Canis lupus familiaris: one gene and its partners. The protein of the gene in region 1 interacts with the protein of each later gene in a pairwise test. Links are inferred from orthologs where the notes say so. Each region holds a gene or a part of one and is shown in the gene's direction. Other genes may lie near its edges. The genes, in order: SSC5D, NECAB2, NUP62, SEC23IP and EXOC7.

What was found.
Region 2: the proteins of SSC5D (region 1) and NECAB2 interact in binary tests that used the Homo sapiens proteins (3 or more experiments, as listed by UniProt). The two-hybrid records come from large-scale screens. The link is inferred for Canis lupus familiaris from reciprocal best matches to the Homo sapiens genes SSC5D and NECAB2.
Region 3: the proteins of SSC5D (region 1) and NUP62 interact in binary tests that used the Homo sapiens proteins (3 or more experiments, as listed by UniProt). The two-hybrid records come from large-scale screens. The link is inferred for Canis lupus familiaris from reciprocal best matches to the Homo sapiens genes SSC5D and NUP62.
Region 4: the proteins of SSC5D (region 1) and SEC23IP interact in binary tests that used the Homo sapiens proteins (3 or more experiments, as listed by UniProt). The two-hybrid records come from large-scale screens. The link is inferred for Canis lupus familiaris from reciprocal best matches to the Homo sapiens genes SSC5D and SEC23IP.
Region 5: the proteins of SSC5D (region 1) and EXOC7 interact in binary tests that used the Homo sapiens proteins (3 or more experiments, as listed by UniProt). The two-hybrid records come from large-scale screens. The link is inferred for Canis lupus familiaris from reciprocal best matches to the Homo sapiens genes SSC5D and EXOC7.

The regions. Positions count from the first base shown.
Region 1 is NC_049222.1:102,980,891-102,984,405, reverse strand, and holds part of SSC5D (soluble scavenger receptor cysteine-rich domain-containing protein SSC5D), read left to right. Parts: intron 1-1,694; coding exon 1,695-2,012; intron 2,013-2,277; coding exon 2,278-2,454; intron 2,455-3,515.
Region 2 is NC_049226.1:68,838,589-68,842,741, reverse strand, and holds the start of NECAB2 (N-terminal EF-hand calcium-binding protein 2), read left to right. Parts: upstream 1-1,348; coding exon 1,349-1,564; intron 1,565-3,809; coding exon 3,810-3,834; intron 3,835-4,153. UniProt on the Homo sapiens protein: May act as a signaling scaffold protein that senses intracellular calcium.
Region 3 is NC_049222.1:107,332,784-107,336,298, forward strand, and holds part of NUP62 (nuclear pore glycoprotein p62), read left to right. Parts: intron 1-704; 5' UTR 705-768; coding exon 769-2,352; 3' UTR 2,353-3,515. UniProt on the Homo sapiens protein: Essential component of the nuclear pore complex. The N-terminal is probably involved in nucleocytoplasmic transport.
Region 4 is NC_049249.1:30,334,543-30,338,057, forward strand, and holds part of SEC23IP (SEC23-interacting protein), read left to right. Parts: intron 1-293; coding exon 294-449; intron 450-856; coding exon 857-959; intron 960-2,169; coding exon 2,170-2,355; intron 2,356-3,055; coding exon 3,056-3,218; intron 3,219-3,515. UniProt on the Homo sapiens protein: Plays a role in the organization of endoplasmic reticulum exit sites. Specifically binds to phosphatidylinositol 3-phosphate (PI(3)P), phosphatidylinositol 4-phosphate (PI(4)P) and phosphatidylinositol 5-phosphate (PI(5)P).
Region 5 is NC_049230.1:5,431,692-5,435,117, forward strand, and holds the end of EXOC7 (exocyst complex component 7), read left to right. Parts: intron 1-248; coding exon 249-314; intron 315-596; coding exon 597-717; intron 718-996; coding exon 997-1,092; intron 1,093-1,889; coding exon 1,890-1,953; intron 1,954-2,190; coding exon 2,191-2,232; intron 2,233-2,360; coding exon 2,361-2,494; intron 2,495-2,736; coding exon 2,737-2,839; 3' UTR 2,840-2,912; downstream 2,913-3,426. UniProt on the Homo sapiens protein: Component of the exocyst complex involved in the docking of exocytic vesicles with fusion sites on the plasma membrane.

The DNA.
Region 1 (3,515 bases):
TGGCCTACCTTTCCCTCCTCCCCCACTCCTTCCTTCCACAAATTCTTTTTTTTTTTTTTTTAAGATTTTATTTATTCATAGAAACAGAGAGAGAAAAAGAGAGGCAGAGACACAGGCAGAGGGAGAAGCAGTCTCCATGCAGGGAGCCTGACGTGGGACTTGATCCTGGGTCTCCAGGATCATGCCCTGGGCTGCAGGCGGCGCTAAACCACTGTGCCACTGGGGCCACCCCACCTTCCACAAATTCTTAAGAACCATTCTGGCTTGGCACAGACATAGCCTGAGACCCAGTCCTCACTCTCATGGATCTGACTGGGTCTGCTGCCGGACCCAGCAGGCACAAGGCAGCAGCAGTAGCAGCCCACAGCTGTAAGTGAGAAATTATGAGGGCAGCAGGCAGACAGGGGGTGCACACCAGACAGGGGGGCAGGGGGTGGGATAGGCTTAAGCTGACTCATGTGAAGGGGAAGAGGACAATGACACCTGGGTCTCTGCTCTGTGCCAAGCAGCGTGCTGGGCACCTCCCCTGCTGTCTCTGAACCTCACCCCCATGTGGACGGCCACTGGGGTGGGTGTTCTCACCCATCTTCACAGGTGTGGAAACAAGGTTCAGAGAAGTAACCCTAATAACCTAGGTTGCAGACTTAGCCCCGGACCCAGAACTGGGCCAGCCGGGCCTGTCCCATTGCACAGACAGATGTGCTGTGCCTGCCGGGGATCTGAAGCACAGGGTGCGGAAAGGTGGAGACAACAAGGCAGGGGCACCGGGCAGCAGACCAGGGACAGTGAGGGTGGCTCCCCCATGTGCCCTGGGGTGGGCAGCAAGTAGGGGCAGAAGTGGGGCCTTCAGAGCCCAGGTCATGGGAGATGAATTGAGGTGCCAGAGAGGGCTAAGCTGCTGGGGAAAAGAAGTGAACCCTGTTGAGGTACCAGGGTGTAGAGGGAGCTCGGTGCCTTAACAACATCTTTAATTCCCAGAGCAACCCCATAAGGGAGCTCCTCATCGACAATGAGGACATGCAAACGCAGGCAGGTCAGACCCTTCTCTGGTCATTTTTTTTCTCTAGAGCACTGACGGGTGATTTTGCTCCCCCCTCATATTGGGGGGTAGAAAAATGGCCTCTCTACTCCCCAGTGGTGACCCAAGTCTCACCCCAAAGAGAAATGTACTCTAAAACCCACAGGAAGTTAGTATGCAAACTAGTGGTTCTCCACAGAGGGGGTTAGGATTCCCTTTTACCCAGGGGACATTGGGCAAAATCTGGTTGTCACGCTGTAGAGGCTCACATATGGGGAGTGGCGCCCAGGGATGCTGCTGGACATCCTCTGGTCACAGGATGCTCCCCCCAGCAAGGAATGACCTGTCCCCCCATGTCAGAGTGCTGAGGTGGGAAAGCCCTGCTATACAGGCCTGAGGCAGGCAGCTGGGGAGTAGGATCAGGGCCAGTATCCCCACAGCTCGCCACTGGGGAGGCAGGGGCCTCGGGAGGTGGACAGACGACATATGGACTCTTGGTGAGTGACTTCCAATCTCAGAGCAAACAGAAGGGGGAATGTCTGCTGTCCAGCGTCATCATGGGCACGAAGCCTGACCCCGTGGACAGCTTAGTATGTGAGCATGTGTGCTAGCTTCCTGCACAGGGAGTACACACCGCAGCCTCCCCGTCTGTTACCCCTCTTCTCCCCACATCCAGGCCCGGCCCCACGGCTCCGCCTGGCTGATGGTCCCCATGGGTGTGCGGGCCGCCTGGAGGTGTGGCACGGCGGGCGCTGGGGGACAGTGTGCGACGATGCCTGGGACCTGCGGGACGCCTCTGTGGCCTGCTGGGAGCTAGGCTGCGGGGCTGCACTGGCTGCCCCCGGAGGCGCCTTCTTTGGGGAGGGGGCTGGGCCCATCCTCCTGGACGACCTCCGGTGTCGGGGTAACGAGACGGCCCTGCGATTTTGCCCAGCGCGGCCCTGGGGCCAGCATGACTGCCACCACCGGGAGGACGCAGGGGCCGTGTGTGATGGTGAGGAGGACAAAGGAAGAGGCTGGGGATGTGGGTGCTCTAGAGCCTCAAGTGGAGGCATGAGAAGTGGGGAGCTGGTGTGGTTTTGCAACGTGTGCCCCATGTGCCACTCCATCCCTCTGTCCTGACTGCCCACTTGCCCCACTTTGTCCTCAGCCTGAGACCTCAGTTGGCATCCATAGTCCCAGGATGAGGGTGTGGGGAGCTGTCCGGCATTACTGAGGCAGTGGTGGTCACCTCTTCCCCTGTCCCTGCGTACCCCCAGGTATGCCTATTGGATACATCCCTCCCACGGCCCCGGCAGTGGACAGCAACCACTCTTTGCCCAGGGAGGCAGCATCCCGGCCCCCAGGCCCCACAGGGAGCCAGGCCCCAGGAACCGCCGGCATCTCGCCTCCTCCCGCCTCCCCCACTGCCCCTCGGGAGCCTGGACCAGAAGCTGGTGAGTCTCTGTCTCCCCAAGAAAACGGGGATTTACCTGCTGCTTCCTCCCCCTTAGCCAGCCCCCAGACACCCCTTCTCCCTGCTCAAAGACTGTCTCATCAGGGCAAGGGCCAAGACAAGGGTGGAGGAGAGAACAGAGCCCTGCGCCTGGAAGGGTCCGTGCTCAGTTAAATCCTCTGCTGTTGCCATTGTGAAATGTGTAGTTTTGGGGAGGCTGTCTCCTCACAAAGACCAAAAGGACTGGATCAACCACAGTTGTCATTTTTTTTTTTTTTTTTTTTTTTTTTTATTTAAGTCACAGACAGAGAGAGAGAGAGGCAGAGACACAGGCAGAGAGAGAAGCAGGCTCCATGCACCAGGAGCCCGATGTGGGATTTGATCCCGGGTCTCCAGGATCGCGCCCTGGGCCAAAGGCAGGCGCCAAACCGCTGCGCCACCCAGGGATCCCACACAGTTGTCATTTTTAAAACATGGGCCTTGATATCATTCAGGTGCAGTGTGGCCTGCAGACAAAATGGGACTGCCACTGGAAAGAGACAGTGTTTCTATCTCACACAGTTGAGGGGCCACATGGGGAAGCAGCAGGGGGCTGGCCAGGGGGCGGGGGTGGGGGGGCGCAGACAGAGCCCTGACTGTTGCTTCTGTGGGAAGGAGCAGGTGAGGTCAAGTAGCAGGCTCAGGGTCAGCCTGCGAGCTGTGGGGTTCAGGGGCTGCCCCTGGTTGTCGGGCGCCCGGCTCTGGGGGCTAAGGGCAGGTAGACAGGGGCCCCGAGTGTGAGTCCCACGGAGCAGGTTGGGGGGGCGGCTGCGATTGGCTGGTGTGCACACAGAAGGCCCGCTCCGGTGTTTTCCTGCCTCTAGGAATGAGCTGTCCCTGGGGAGGGTGGGCAGTCTCCCCAGGGTCAGTGAAGCCCCAAGATGGCAAAGCATCAGAACGTAGACAAGGAAAACACACTGTTAATGCAGCTGTCGCTCACGGGTGGGAAACCTGTTCTTACCAGGGGCCTCGCTCCCCACCTTTCCCAAGTCTCCTAGCACCGCTGGCTTACGTGTGACCAGT
Region 2 (4,153 bases), on another chromosome or scaffold:
CTCAGACTAGTACCAGGGTGGGAACAGATGCTGCAGGCCAGGGGGGGCAGTGATTTAGGGTGAAAGCTGCTGGTAAGAGCTGGGGTCACCAGGGCCAGCTGAGCCAAGAGGACTCCAGGCTCTACTGCTTCCAGAATCAGGTTCCAATTAAACCCAGTACCTGCCTCCACTCCCGTGTCTGAGGATTCTGTGTGTGGGGAGGGGGCTGGGTGCCCCGGGAAGCACAGGGCCATGTGGGAGGTCCTTGGGATGGGGAGTTTTGTGATAAGGGATGGTGTCCAAGTCTGGGTACAGCTGTGTTAGGGACGTGAGGGGAGGGTGTGTGGGGGGAAGGGTATGCTGGGGGGGCCTTCACAGCCCTGCCCACCCCTCCAGCCTGGCCCCTGACTGTCTCCCACGCTCCCTCCTGGTCTCACTGTCTCTTCAGTCCTTCATGCTCCCTCAGCTCGCGCCGGCCACAGGGCCTTTGCAGGGGCGGGTCTCCCACCCAGGACACTTTACTCTTCTCTCTAACTCCTCTTCCATTGCGGTCACCTAAGGGCCACTTCCTCCAGGCAGCCTCCTCCGTCACCAGGGCAGTCCCGTTGGTGGCCCAAGGTTCCCGGGCGTTCAGAAGTAATAGTTCGTTTGTCTACGGAATCGCTCCCGCAGCCGACTCTGCCCACTTGGACGTAGGTTCCAGGAGGCCGAGGACAGCCACCCCCGCCCCCCCGCAGTCCCATTAGTGGAACCCAGCACCTGGCACGGGCCCTCACTCATCCTTTGGACAGGTGGATGGTGGTGGGTGGGGCGTGAGGGGAAGAGGGTGCTGGGGCGCCGGCCGGGCGCTCGGCTGCGGCAGGGTTGGGGGGCTCGCAGGCCCCGGGCGGGCGGGCGGGCGGGCGGGGGAGGCCGAGCGCGGGGGCGCCGGTTCCTGGAGCTGCCGCCAGCAGGGGGCGCCCCGGGCTCGCCGGACACCTGCGCTCCGGCCCCTGCGTCGGCGCCGCGGGGGGGCCTCGGGGGCTCCGGGAGGGGGCGGCCCCGGGCGAGGCCCGCCCGCGCAGCCCGACGCCCCGACCCCAGGCCTCCCGGGCGCCCCTTCCGTGCGCGGGCTGGGTCCGGGCCCGCAGCGCCCCCCGCGGTTGGCCCCTGCCGCGGCGCCGGGGCGGGGCGGGGCGGGGCGGGGCGGGGGACGCGGGCACGTGGCCGGGGTCCGGGCGAGCGCCCCCCCCGCGGTGGCCGCGGCCGCGGGGCCGAGGGAGGCGGGGCGGGGCGGCGGGGCGGGGAGGGGGCGCGCGGGGGCGGGCCGCGGGCCGGGCGGGGGTCGGCGGGCTTCCGGGCGGCGCGGGCGGGCGGGCGGGCGGGCGCGATGTGCGAGCGGGCGGCGCGCCTGTGCAGGGCCGGCGCGCACAGGCTGCTCCGGGAGCCGCCGCCGCAGGGCCGGGCGCTGGGCGGGCTGCTGCGCTGGGTGGGCGCCAGGATGGGCGAGCCCCGGGCGCCGCTCGCCCCCGCCGCCCCCGCCGCCCCCGGCCCCGCCGCCCCCGGCCCCGGCTCCCCGCGCGGGGGCACCGCGGTCATCCTGGACGTGAGTACGCGCCGGCGGCCCCCGGACCCCGCGCCCGCCCCGCGCCCCCGCCCCGCGCCCCCGCCCCGCGCCCCCGACCCGCGACCCCGCGCCCGCACGCCCCTCCCCTGCCCCCACGCCCCTCCCGCCCCGGCTCGGGATCCCCACCTGCCTGCTCCGAGCCGCGACCCTTCGACCCGGCCACCGCCCCCCTCCCTCGGTCCCGGCTGCGCCCTCGCCCCACCCTCCCCCTCCCGCCCCTGCCGCCTCCCGCCCCCTCCTCTCCACCCCGCCCCAGTCACTACTTCTCCGAGACCCCCTCCCGCCCGGCCCCAGGCTCCGGTGCCCCGACCCATCCTGGCCGCGGACCCGGAGCCCGCGTGTTCCCGCCCCAAAGCCCCCTCCCCGCAGCCAGCAGCTCTTGGAAAGCGAAGCCCCCTCCTGTCCCCCCTCTCAGCGGATCGGGGCCACCCCCGTCTGCGGAGCCTGGACCCTCCAGCCTGAGCCGCGTCAGCCCTTCAGCCCTTCACGCCCGGGGTGGCTCAACCCCCACCCATCCGCCCGGGAGCCGAGCCACCCCCCTCTGGGAAGCCCACCTCCCCCCGCTCCCCCGCCCTCTCCCCAGGAGTGGGAGGAAGCTTCTGCAGGGCGGACCGCTGGGGGAGGGGGCGTCGGGGAGGGCGAGGCGGTGGGGGCCCTGCCCCGGGCACCACCCCACCTCCCGACAGCCTGGCCGCGGCCACAGGACGTGCTTGTCCCGGGGAGGGTCCTGGGCTCCTGGGGCTTCTGGGACAGTTGTGTCTGCAGGTCTGATTGTTAGGGGGAGCGTGGATCTCCTCTCCCCCTTCCTTCCTCTCTCCTGGAACCCACAGTTGGCCCTGGGCAGAGAGGGCTGGGCAGGGAAGGGGGAGCTGGGCGGTGGGGTGCTGGAGGCTGCCCCCAGAGACATGCAGGCACGCGCACACGCACACACACTCTTGCACAGCCAGATCCTCTCTCAGGTCCCCCACAGAGTTCGTGCGGGGAAAACCGGGGCCACCCTTGCAGGGAAGCCCTGTCCAGACCCTTCCCGTTCCCAGCAGTGCGGGCAGGAGGCTCGGGGTCCTCCTGGTGCGGGTGCGGGTGCGCTCCGAGACTCCTCTATCTAGGAGATGGAGCGATGAGTGGGGGTGGGGAGCGGACTCCTGGAGCCACCTTAGGTGGTCTGCACCATTCACTTGCTTGGCGTGGCCAGTGTGGGCACCTGCGGGGGGGACCCCAGCCCCAGAGAACTTTGCAGTGGGGAGCTGGGGTGTGGAGTGCCCAGGCGGGCAATGGGTGCTCTGCTAGTCTCCCTTCTGCCCCAGCCACGGCAGCTCCTGCTCGAGCACCCCCAGCTAGGGTTTCAGCTGAGGGAAGAGGGGGGTGATGTGTAGGAAGCCCTTTCTGAGCTGCTGCTTCAGTTTGTCACAGTCTCGAGTACTTGAAGGGATGGGGGGGACATCTGTCCTTGGCCCCAGGGCAAGCACCAAAGGTCAGATGGTCAGAGGGGTTAGTGCCTCCCCCTGCTCCTTCTGTTCACCTGTGGCTCACCTTCTTCTAAAAATACCAGGAGGACTTATCTGGTCTCAGCTCAGGTTTGGGGGGGGTGGCTGTCACTCCCCCATCCCTCCCCCACCCCCTCCCCATGCAGCCAGAACCTGGCACCTGCAGCTGGCTTTCTGAGCTCTTCACGGCCTGCTTCCACCCACTCCCCCACCTGAAAAATAATCCAGTGCTGCCCCTGGCTGGCCCAGTTGCCAGGCCTGGAGGTTCCCTTAGCAGACCTCTCTGTTGACACTAAACCAACCTCCGTGGGGGGAAATCGGGGCTCCCACGGGCTTCCGAGAGGGGTGCAGCGGTATGAGGCGTGTGGTTGTGTCCGTGGGACACAGATTCCCATTGTGTGACTGAGCGTAGCACAGTGGGTGAGGCCGCGTGGACTGCTGGCTCTGCAAGCACACCCGCAAGCATGTGGATCGGTGTGAGCGTGTGTGTCCACGTGTGTGTGCGCATGTCGGCACAGAAGAAGAGTGGGTGCTGCTTCCTCGCAGGCGCCTGGGAAGGCTGTGCCTGAAGCATCCCTCCTGCCCTGGATCCCAGCGGGGGCCTCCTGGGGGAGGGGCTGCTCAGCTTCCCAGGTCCCCCTGCACCACCCCCAGGCGTGGGATCTCAAGATGAGTTGGGAGTCACTGGAGGGCGCCTGCCCCTCTGGGGCCCAGGCTGACTCCACTTCTCTTCTCTGCAGATTTTCCGCCGGGCGGACAAAAATGGTGAGTTTCCCTCCCAGGCTGTCCCCTGAACAAGGTCCTGGCTCTTTCTATCCTCACGCTTCGGGGGCAGGGACCCGGGCTTGGGACATGGACCGCCTTGTACGTGATGGTTTCTGAAGTCAAGAAAGCCGAATCCTGGCTCTGCCCTGTGCCTCAGTTTCCCTGTCTCACAGTGGAATTACACATAGTTCCTGCTTGGTAGGGATGCCACAGGGATTCAAGGAGTTGGTGTCTGTGATGCCAGGATGTCTTGCACATAGTAGGTGCTTGGTGTACTTCAGCCCTCATGCCGCTGGGCTGGAGCAGCCCGGGTAGGGGG
Region 3 (3,515 bases), about 4.4 Mb from region 1:
AAGATGAAGGGGTGCCTGATATGCACATTATCTGTGCCCTACACCTCCAGGTGAAGGAGGCCACCTCTTCTTGAGACCCTGGTCCAAGTTAGCAGTCCTGGGACCCATGTCCCATCCCTGAGCTAGGAAGAGGGCAGGCCCTGCCCTCTGTCCTCCTAAACCAGGGCAGTGCCTCATGTCCTACCATACAGCTCAGCTTTCTGGGGCTTCTCTGTGAGTTCCAGAAAGGTACTCGGGGTGGCACTCAACCAGATCAGTCCACCACCCACCACCTCCCACTTGCATTTAGCAGGGAAACTTGGGGAGCAGTTCCTAAAGGTGTTATTTTGTGTGCTTCTAGTCCCACTTGCCTGAAGTGTCTTGAATCTGAGCTCCTCCTCAGGGCTGAGGTCAGTTCAGGTGCCTGCCCTTTGGCCTTCTCCTCTAGGGCAACAGATTACTCCTTGTGCTGAGCATGGCCGTGCATGTCCCAAGCACATCTGGCTCCTAGCACATGACTCCCATGCATGAGCTTATGCTTCCAGATCTTTCTTTTCTAGTTTTAGCAGGGCCTGGCTAGGTTATGACAGGGAGTGAGATGGTGGCCACATATTCTAATTATCCAGTCCCGCCACCCTACAGACTGTTCCATCTTGCATTGAGGTTGCCTTTCCAAAACTGCCATCTGATCATGTGACTTACTCTGCTTTAAAAATCTTCCCAAGGTTTCAGACACCGACGGATTTGCTTTGGGAGCCAGAGTAGCTGCCGCCACCAGAATCTGGAGCCATGAGTGGGTTTAATTTTGGAGGCACTGGGGCCCCCACAGGTGGGTTCACATTTGGCACTGCAAAGACGGCGACAACCACTCCTGCTACTGGGTTTTCTTTCTCTACATCTGGCACTGGTGGGTTTAATTTTGGGACTCCCTCCCAGCCAGCTGCAAGTACTCCTTCTACTGGCCTCTTCTCCCTCACAACCCAGGCTCCAGCAACACAAACCCCAGGATTCAGTTTTGGAACCACAACTCCTGCCACAGGAGGAACTGGATTCTCCTTAGGCATCAGCACACCAAAGCTAAACTTGGGCAGCGTGGCTGCCACCCCAGCTACAGCACACCCTGGCGGCTTTGGGCTCAGCAGCAGCACCCTCACCAATGCCATCTCGAGCACTGTCACCTCCAGCCAGAGCACAGCACCCACCGGCTTCATGTTTGGCTCTGCCACCACCTCTGCTGCTCCTTCCACCACACCAGGGGGATTCTCATTCACAGCGGGGAGCACGTCCCAGACCGGGACCTCAGGTTTTAATATTGGCTCAATGGGGACTTCAACCCAGCCCACGGCACTTGCTGGATTGCTCTTCACTCCTGCCACTCCAGCAGCCACTGGAGCGGGAGCCACACAGCCAGCTGCTCCTGCACCCACTGCTGCCACTACCAGTGCTGGGCCCACACTGTTTGCCTCTCTAGCAACTGCTCCAACCTCATCGACCACCACTGGGCTTTCTCTTTGTACCCCATCAACCACGGCTGGAACTCCTGGAGCTGGAACACTGGGCTTCAGCTTAAAGGCCACTGGAGCAGCTTCTACGGCCTCCACAACAACATCCACCACCACGGCCACCACCACCACTGCAGCCACCACTGCAGCCACCACTACCACCACTGGCTTTGCCTTGAATCTGAAGCCCCTTGCACCGGCCGGGATCACCAGCAATGCACCGGCTGCTGTGGCCGCACCACCTGGCCCTGGTGCAGCCACTGGGGCATCTACCAGCCCTGTGATGACCTACGCCCAGCTGGAGAGTCTGATCAACAAGTGGAGTCTGGAGCTGGAGGACCAGGAACGGCACTTCCTGCAGCAGGCCACACAGGTCAATGCCTGGGACCGCACACTGATTGAGAATGGGGAGAAGATCACTACCCTCCACCGTGAGGTGGAGAAAGTGAAGCTGGACCAGAAGAGGCTGGACCAAGAGCTCGACTTCATCCTGTCTCAGCAGAAGGAGTTGGAAGACCTGCTGAGCCCACTGGAGGAGTCGGTCAAGGAGCAGAGTGGCACTGTCTACCTGCAGCATGCCGATGAGGAGCGTGAGAAAACCTACAAGCTGGCAGAGAATATCGATGCACAGCTAAAGCGCATGGCCCAAGACCTCAAGGACATCATCGAGCACTTGAACACATCTGGAGGCCCTGCCGACACCAGCGACCCACTGCAGCAGATCTGCAAGATCCTCAATGCGCACATGGACTCGCTGCAGTGGATCGACCAGAACTCGGCCCTGTTGCAGAGGAAGGTGGAGGAGGTGACCAAGGTGTGTGAGGGGCGTCGCAAGGAGCAGGAGCGCAGCTTCCGGATCACATTCGACTGAGGCGCCAGCCAGCTTCAGGGCCTGTGGGTTCTGAGGGTGTTGGGGGCAGTGGGTGATGCGCAAATTATTGTCTAGTTTTTGGTTGCAATGAATACTTGTTTGTTCCTTTCTTCCAAATGGCTGTGCCGTTGAGAACACTTCTGTGGTTTGACTTTGCAGTAATGAAAATGAAAATATTCCAGTGCTCTGGTCCAGACGGCCTGGTGGATGTGGTTTCTTTGTGTATCTTTTGTGTATCCCTGACCCGTTTTCACTATAACCACCACCTACCCCATCCTTCTTGCTCCAGCCAAGTGCTAGAGAAGTGCTGGAGAAGTTCATCCAAAACCATCTGTCTCCCAGCTAGGATCTGCTTAGGGTCCACTATGTCCCACACATAGTCTTAGGTACAGGGAAAAGAGTCTCTGTCCTCGACAAGGCAGCATCTTGGTGTGAGGTGTGTACCTGTGGAAACTCACCACCTGTACAAAGAAGGGAATAGTGAATAGGACTGACCAGGAGATGTAGAATTTCAGAGGAAGGACATGAGTGCAGTGTTAAGACAAGGGTCAGACTTGCACTAGCAGGTCTTGTCTGGCTGACATGACACCCCATCCTCCAGGTCTCTTTATCTTAGGCCTTATCTCTCCAGAAGCCCTCTCAGCCACCCCAAAGCTGGGTCAGGTGGCTATCCTGTGGCCCCTATACCACACAGAGCGTGCATCTTTGGTAGCACTTGCCACACTGTCTTGTGTAGACTGTTTACTTCTCTGCTTCCCCTTTAGAGTATGAGCCCCCATGGGCCGGGACTGTTTCTTGTTCCCTTTTGTGTCTTCACTACAGTCCCTCTCACATTTTCAAATTTGAATGAATGAACAACGGAGGTGAAACATGGCATCAAATGTTCAGCCCCAAAATGCCTGCTGAAATGGCCACAGGGACCAGAGATGGCCACAGACTTGGTTCAGAACTTGTTGATGCTGAAGCAAACCTAACTTGTTACAGTGAGATCCATGGTGATGTCCAGAAGACAACCAGTTGTTGCCCAAATATCTTTTTGTATTTGTCTTTATACTTTGCTGCACTGTCTATGACTCTATGTTGCTTTCCTAAATAAAATGTATTGTGGAAGGAAAAAGATGCCAATAATGTGGATCACTTAGAAAGCTGGGGGAAAAGAGCAG
Region 4 (3,515 bases), on another chromosome or scaffold:
GTCCCGAGATCAAGCCTCACATTGAGCTTCCTGCTCAATGGGGAGCCTGCTTCTCCTTCTTCCTTTGCCTGCCACCCTGCCTATTTGTGCTTGCTTGCTCTCTCTCTGTAAATAAATCAATCAAACCTTAAAAAAAAAATAATGACAGCAATTTTAAGCATTATAAGCCATACTTGAGTGGCATCATCTGTGTTGAGATGCTTTCAACTAAGCAGTTCCAGCTTGAACTTTCGAATTTTTTATTGTATGACATTGGAATGATGATCTTTTATTGTATTTTTTATTCTTTCTAGGTTTCTGTTGTTTACAACTCATTAGACTTTGAACCAGAGATTTTCTTTGCCTTGGGATCTCCAATTGGTATGTTCCTCACTATTCGAGGAGTGGATAGGATAGATGAGAACTACAGGCTTCCTACGTGTAAAGGATTCTTCAATATTTATCATCCAGTGAGTGACTTGAACTACTTCCTATTTTGAAGAAGATAAAACATCTACATAGAAACACCAATATAGATAAATCATCCTAATAGATTTTCAGATTCTTTTTTCTTAGGAACTAATTCTGATTTTGATGTACACCCAGCTCTCTGTCCTAAGAGAGAATAGTCTGATACCAACCAATAAACTTTTCTGCCAGAAAGCCTTTGTTCAAGGAAATAATTCTGTTGCTTTGCTTGCAAAGTAGTTTTCCTCACAAACTTAGAAGTCGTCTTATAATTACCAGTAGGTGAATGACTTGTGGGGAAAAAAAATCAAAATCTCTGGTTTGCTAGTTATCTATTTTGTCATACAATCAAGATACATAACTGAAGATAAGAGAGCTTTTCCAAAATTTCCAATTCTTCTCTTTACAGCTTGATCCAGTGGCGTATAGATTAGAGCCTATGATTGTTCCAGATTTGGACCTGAAAGCAGTTCTCATTCCACATCACAAAGGCAGAAAAAGACTTCATTTAGGTAAAAAGCAAATACTATAAAAGCTTGTTTCCTTCCTGTCATTTTGTAATCTGTTAGTCCTAATGAAGTATGTTTTTCCTGTCACTTGTAATTGAACTGTGAAAATCTTAACACCAGGTCCTTTCTGACAAAATTAATTTTATTTAAGAGCCTGCTGTGTTTAGAGCCTGTTTATTAAATGTTCAGAAGAGCTATAAAGTTTTGAGTGAGTTGCTTCTCCTTGAATATTTTGTTCTAGATGCGACGTTCTGATGGTTGAAATACTTAGGAATGGGGGATGTTGGTAATAAAGTGATGAGATATACCTATAGATTTTGATAGAATTTGGCCATAATTTTTGGAGTTGGGAAGCAGAGTAACACTTGAACTAAGGACCAACAAGACATAAACTTGATGCTAAGTCAACTGAGCTGTTACTTCCTTGCTAAATAGATAAACTTTTCCAATTAAAAACATTCATTAAACGTAATGGATCACTAAGAATTCCAAATGGGGTTTAGGTTTCTCTTATGCCTGTTAATGGTGTGTATCATCCAGGGGCTTAAAGGTTTGGGTGGAAGGGATGGGAGTGCAGTGGAGAAGAGGGGGTATGTGATCATGCCCTTTTATTTAAAATTGGATTTTCTTTCTTTTTTTTTCTTACATCATTTTTTAAAAAATATTTAACTATTTTGGGATTAAAATGGGAAATTTGATACATACCTTAAAATCAAAAGGATTTATTAGACAAAAGTAGGAAAAATGAAGGGGCAGAGGTTTCTTCATTTTTAAATCAGAGGTTTATATTGTGGTTATATTAGAATCTCAAATTCTCAAAACCATTTTACCATTACAGATAAGAAAAGCAGTCATCTTTTTTATCTTGTGGGCCCATTTTTTTTAACTTACAGAAAAAAAAGCACATGAACGTGTCTACATTTTTATAGTATTTGAACTCTTCCTTCCCTCTTCTTTTTTTTTTTTTTTCCTTTTGTCGAGAGAGGGAATTTATACAGTTTGCCTGGATTAGCTTTGGTTATTAAAAAAGATGACAGAATAAGCCTCTATAAAACATTTTAATATGTTGAGAGTTCTTGGGTGAGAAACTCTGAGTGTTTGGCGTTTAAGAGAGGATTCATCCAGTCTGAGAAGAGTGTTAACTTTGAATTTTTATGGCACAGAATTTCACCTTGTGACTAATTAAGTTGATGTGTCATCTTCATCTCTTTAGAGTTGAAAGACAGTCTCTCTCGTATGGGATCTGATTTGAAGCAGGGTTTTATTAGCTCCCTGAAAAGCGCTTGGCAGACATTAAACGAATTTGCCCGCGCTCACACCTCTTCAACTCAGCTGCAAGAAGAACTGGAAAAAGTGGCCCATCAAATCAAAGAAGAAGAAGAAAAACAAGTAGTTGAAGGTAAATTTGGCATTTGAGGCATTTTCTAGTACAAATGTTATTTGTAAACATAATGAATTATTTGTATACATTATGAATTATTTAATGATGCTTTTCCATTCTGGTCTTTTTTGTTAAAATATGGAGGTTGTTTTTTTTTTTTTTTTTATATAAAGGAAAATCTGTTGTGATAAACTGTACTTCAACATGGATGCCATTCTTTTTCCAGGGTTTTGCCTGATAGTTAGTTGCTGGACTTTTTACTCTGCAATCTTGTTTTTGTTGAGATTCCTAAGGCCAGAGTGGAATATCAGAGTTAAGAGCAAAGCTTGTATTCAGGCATTTTAAAGACCCACTGTGAGAAAATATCTTCTGATGTTGTCTACCTTTGTCGTTTTATTATAGACTTTATCTGCATTGTCAGGTCATTGTGCCATGATGCTTTTGACTCTCTTCAGATTCTAATTCTGTTTCCTTTCTTTCTACAATGCTCTCTCACCCCTTTTCTTCAAAACTGTCAGCTCGTTGGCTCTTTCTCCTCTCTCGGGTAACCAGCCCCTCTTCCTTCTCCTGGCTCTTTGGAGGAATGGGAAGTGAGCCTGGTATCTCCCCAGGTTGCTACGTGTGTCAAGCGATATTCTCTTGAGCCCAGAAAGTCAGCTAAAGTCAAAGGATAATGATTAAGTGATTGACTTTGATATTGAAATGGTTTAAATTTTAGCAGAAAAGATTGTTGAAAGTCCAGATTTTTCCAAGGATGAGGACTACTTAGGAAAGGTTGGAATGCTAAACGGAGGCCGCCGAATTGACTACGTTCTTCAAGAAAAGCCAATAGAGAGTTTTAATGAATATCTTTTCGCTCTTCAGAGTCATTTGTGCTATTGGTAAGTAGTTTCTTCTTTGATAACATTCACGCGGCCTGTAGGTGCTGGCATATACAGCAGTTTTAGGGGAGACTCTTTTGCCGATTTATCACTTACGATGAAATATTAATTTCAATGGCCATATATTCAAAATCCGTATTTTCCCCCGTTATTTTATTATCCACAAGATGGCAGTGTGTCATCTGCCTTTTACCAAAGGACTTTAGTACGTGCACACTGATTTTTGTAGGGGTACCTTTCACAGAATGGAAGTGGTAGGGACTTTGAAAAGCCATCCTTTCATATATCCCCTGTCAC
Region 5 (3,426 bases), on another chromosome or scaffold:
ATCACCATAGAGGGGCTTGCCCTGGGCTCCAGGAAGAGGCTGCCCAGGGGGTGCTCCTGCAGCAGGTGGGAGCTTGGCAGCTCAGCAGACCAACCCCTTCCCCGTTCTGCGTCCAGTCTGCCTGAGGAAGGCTCAGGGCCCCCCCACCCCCACCCCAAGGTTTCCACAGCTGCTCCAGGGGCTGAGGGAAGGCCAGAGAGGGTCCTGGCTGCTGCCATGGCTGCAGTGACAGGCCTCTCTTCTCCCAGAGACCAGCTCTTCAGCCACCAGCTACAGCTCCGAGTTCAGCAAGCGCCTGCTAAGCACGTATATCTGTGAGTGCTCTCTGGCTGGCCGGCAGCCCCCCGCGCCCACCTGCCCACCTCCACTGGCGTTTCCCTTCCTTCCTCTGTGCCCTCCTGCTATTCCCAGTGCTCTCCTGAGCCTCACCTTTGGAATCGCAGCCTAACTTCCAGTTTAGGGGCTGAGCTGGGCTGTGGGCAGAGGGCTCCTGAGGCTTGTGGAGTCTGGAGTTGGGAAGGACAAGGCTCTTGGGACAGGGACTGGGTCATTTAGGTCAGACTGCCCATGGATGTAGCCACACCCTCCCTGTGCAGGTAAAGTCCTGGGCAACCTGCAGCTGAACCTCCTGAGCAAGTCCAAAGTGTATGAGGACCCAGCTCTGAGCGCCATCTTTCTGCACAACAACTACAACTACATCCTCAAGGCCCTGGAGAAGTGAGTGGCTGCAGGGGCCTGCGCCTACCTGCCCTCCTGCCTGTCCTCCCACACTGCCTCCCTCCCTCCTGCCTGCCCTCCTGCCTGCCTCCCTCCTGGGGCTGCCTGCACCCTCTGCCTGGCCAGGTGGGGAGGGAAGCCCTTGACCTCCTGGAGTCCTAGGACCTGGGGCACAGGCATAAGGCAGGCCTCCTGCTGGTGCTGCTGCGGAGGCTCACTACCCTTGGGCCCCAAGAGCCAATGCGGCCCTCCTCTGCTTCCTCCTTATCCCCGCCCCAGGTCTGAGCTGATCCAGCTGGTGGCTGTGACCCAGAAGACTGCTGAGCGCTCCTACCGGGAGCACATTGAGCAGCAGATCCAGACCTACCAGCGGAGGTGGGCCTCCACCGTGCCCCCCCCCCCATTACCCCCAAGCTTGTGTCCTTCACTCACTCTTCCTGTCCAAGCTTCATTACAAGTGGGGTCAGGAATGGGGAACTGCTCCCCTATGAACTCAATGCTCCCCTTGCTGTTTCACCACACTGACCAGGTGGAGGGGAAGCCCCTCCCTACCACCACCTGCTCCCTAGGGGCTGCTATGGCCAGCCTCTCTAGAGGGTGGTGTGCCAAGGGTGCAGGCTAAGAAGACTCAAAAAACTGCATATCAGAGGTGTGGGGATGTGAGGCCAAGCAAAGAGCAAGGTTGTAAGAATACTCAAACTTCCTGAGCCTCGCTCTGTAGTGCTCCCACTGCTCCTCACCCGTCCTTCAGAGCTCCTTCTGTTCCTCGCCCCCAGGGCTCCCTCTGCTCCTTGCCCCTGTTTCTCCTTGGTTTGTGTGTTTCTTCCTGTAAGTGGTCTCCCTCCTCCTTGCTTTGTCTGTCTTCTGCTTCTTTCTTCCTCATCTGCTTCTCCATCTTTATTCTCCAGGAGATCGATGTGAGGCATAGCTGCTAGTTATTTGTTCAATTTATTGAATGTTGTTTCCTGTTCTTAATTTTAAAAGCCAGCAGCTTGAACATTTTCTTTTCCCAAGGAGAAATCTCACTGTGCTCTGCTGAGTTCTGACCCCCATGGATCGTTGACCTCCCCTCCCCTAGTAGATTTAAAAAACAACACAAACCAGCCCCTGGAAAGAGGCAGCAGCCTGAGGTTGTCCCTCCTCTGCCTTCTGCCTCTCTCTCCACCTGACAGCTGGTTAAAGGTGACTGACTACATTTCTGAGAAGAATCTACCTGTATTCCAACCCGGAGTCAAGGTGGGCGGAAGGCCTGGGCTGGGAAGGGGTGTCTAGCAGATGTGATACTTTGTGTCATGTCTCTGGGGAAAAAAATGGACAAGCATCCTGCTGGGATGAGCAAATGATGCCTGCCTGTGGCCATGACGGTATCCAGAAGAAGGGCCAGGCCCAGGCTTGGGTGTTTGGGGAAGGAGCCAGTGGCAGGGCAGATCTGCTCTGAGGAACACTTTCTCTGCCCTCTCTCACCACCCCCAGCTGAGGGACAAGGAGCGACAGATGATCAAAGAGCGTTTCAAGGTGAGTTGGGGTCTTCCCTGCTCACCCAACCCCCCACCACCTCCAGTGCTTCCTGCTGCTATTGCAGGGACACGGACCCAAAGTCTTTATCTTTGGGTCACTCCCATTTCCACTTTTTTGGTGGCCAGGGTTTCAATGATGGCCTTGAAGAATTGTGCAAGATCCAGAAGGCCTGGGCTATTCCTGACATGGAGCAGAGAGACAAGATTCGCCAAGCTCAGAAAAACATCGTCAGGGAGACGTACGGGGCCTTTCTGCACAGGTGAGCCCTTTGTCTCCACCTTCCCAGCCCTGGGCCCCGCGCTTCCCCTGCTGGGTCTCTGCTCTTCTCTTCTACAGGAACACACAGAGGGGCGTGAGGGTGTGGGTGGCAGATCCAGGGCCGTGGGCTTTGCTGTGGGGCCAGAAAGGGACATCTCTCAGGGGCAGCCTGTCAGGAGCACCTTAGGCTGCGGTGGAGCTGGGGGGCTGGCCAGGCTGCCCCTGACCTCAGTGCCTGGGCAGGTATGGCAGCGTGCCGTTCACCAAGAACCCTGAGAAGTACATCAAGTACCGCGTGGAGCAGGTGGGCGACATGATCGATCGCCTCTTTGACACCTCTGCCTGAGCCTGCTGCTCTCCCTGCCTGGTACTGCCCGGTCAGCCCTGTTATTGGACAGATAAACCAGTGTTAACTCTGGGCCTGGTGAGTTTGACATCCTTTGGGACAGGAACTTTTTCCACCCCTTGTCCAGCCCAGAGCTGTCCCTGAGCACCCCCCCGCCCCGAGTCCTGGTCTGCACTTCTTCCTGGAACCCACCCCCACCCCTGACCAGCACTCTCCCAGAATACTGGGGCTCCTTCCCACCTTAGGTTTCATGACCCTCAAGCTGCATGGGCCACGTGATGGCTTCTAGACAGGAAAGGACAGAGAAGGAGGACAAAGGGCTTGTGCCCACAGCTGCCTCGTGTGTACAAGAGCAGGAGGGGAAACAGCCTGCCTCCGGCCCAGCTCAGAGCTGCGGGTGGGGACCACCTGTTTTAGCCCTGAAGTGTGGGTAGGGCAGGCCACAGCAAAGCCAGAGAGCATGGAGAAAAAGGTAGCAGGATTGACCTGCTCATGGATTTATGCAGAAAACATAGTTCCCGTCACCCACGGTCCTGAAAATCGGGGGTGTTCTGCCTCCCAGGCATCCCTCAGGTGGCTGGAGCAGG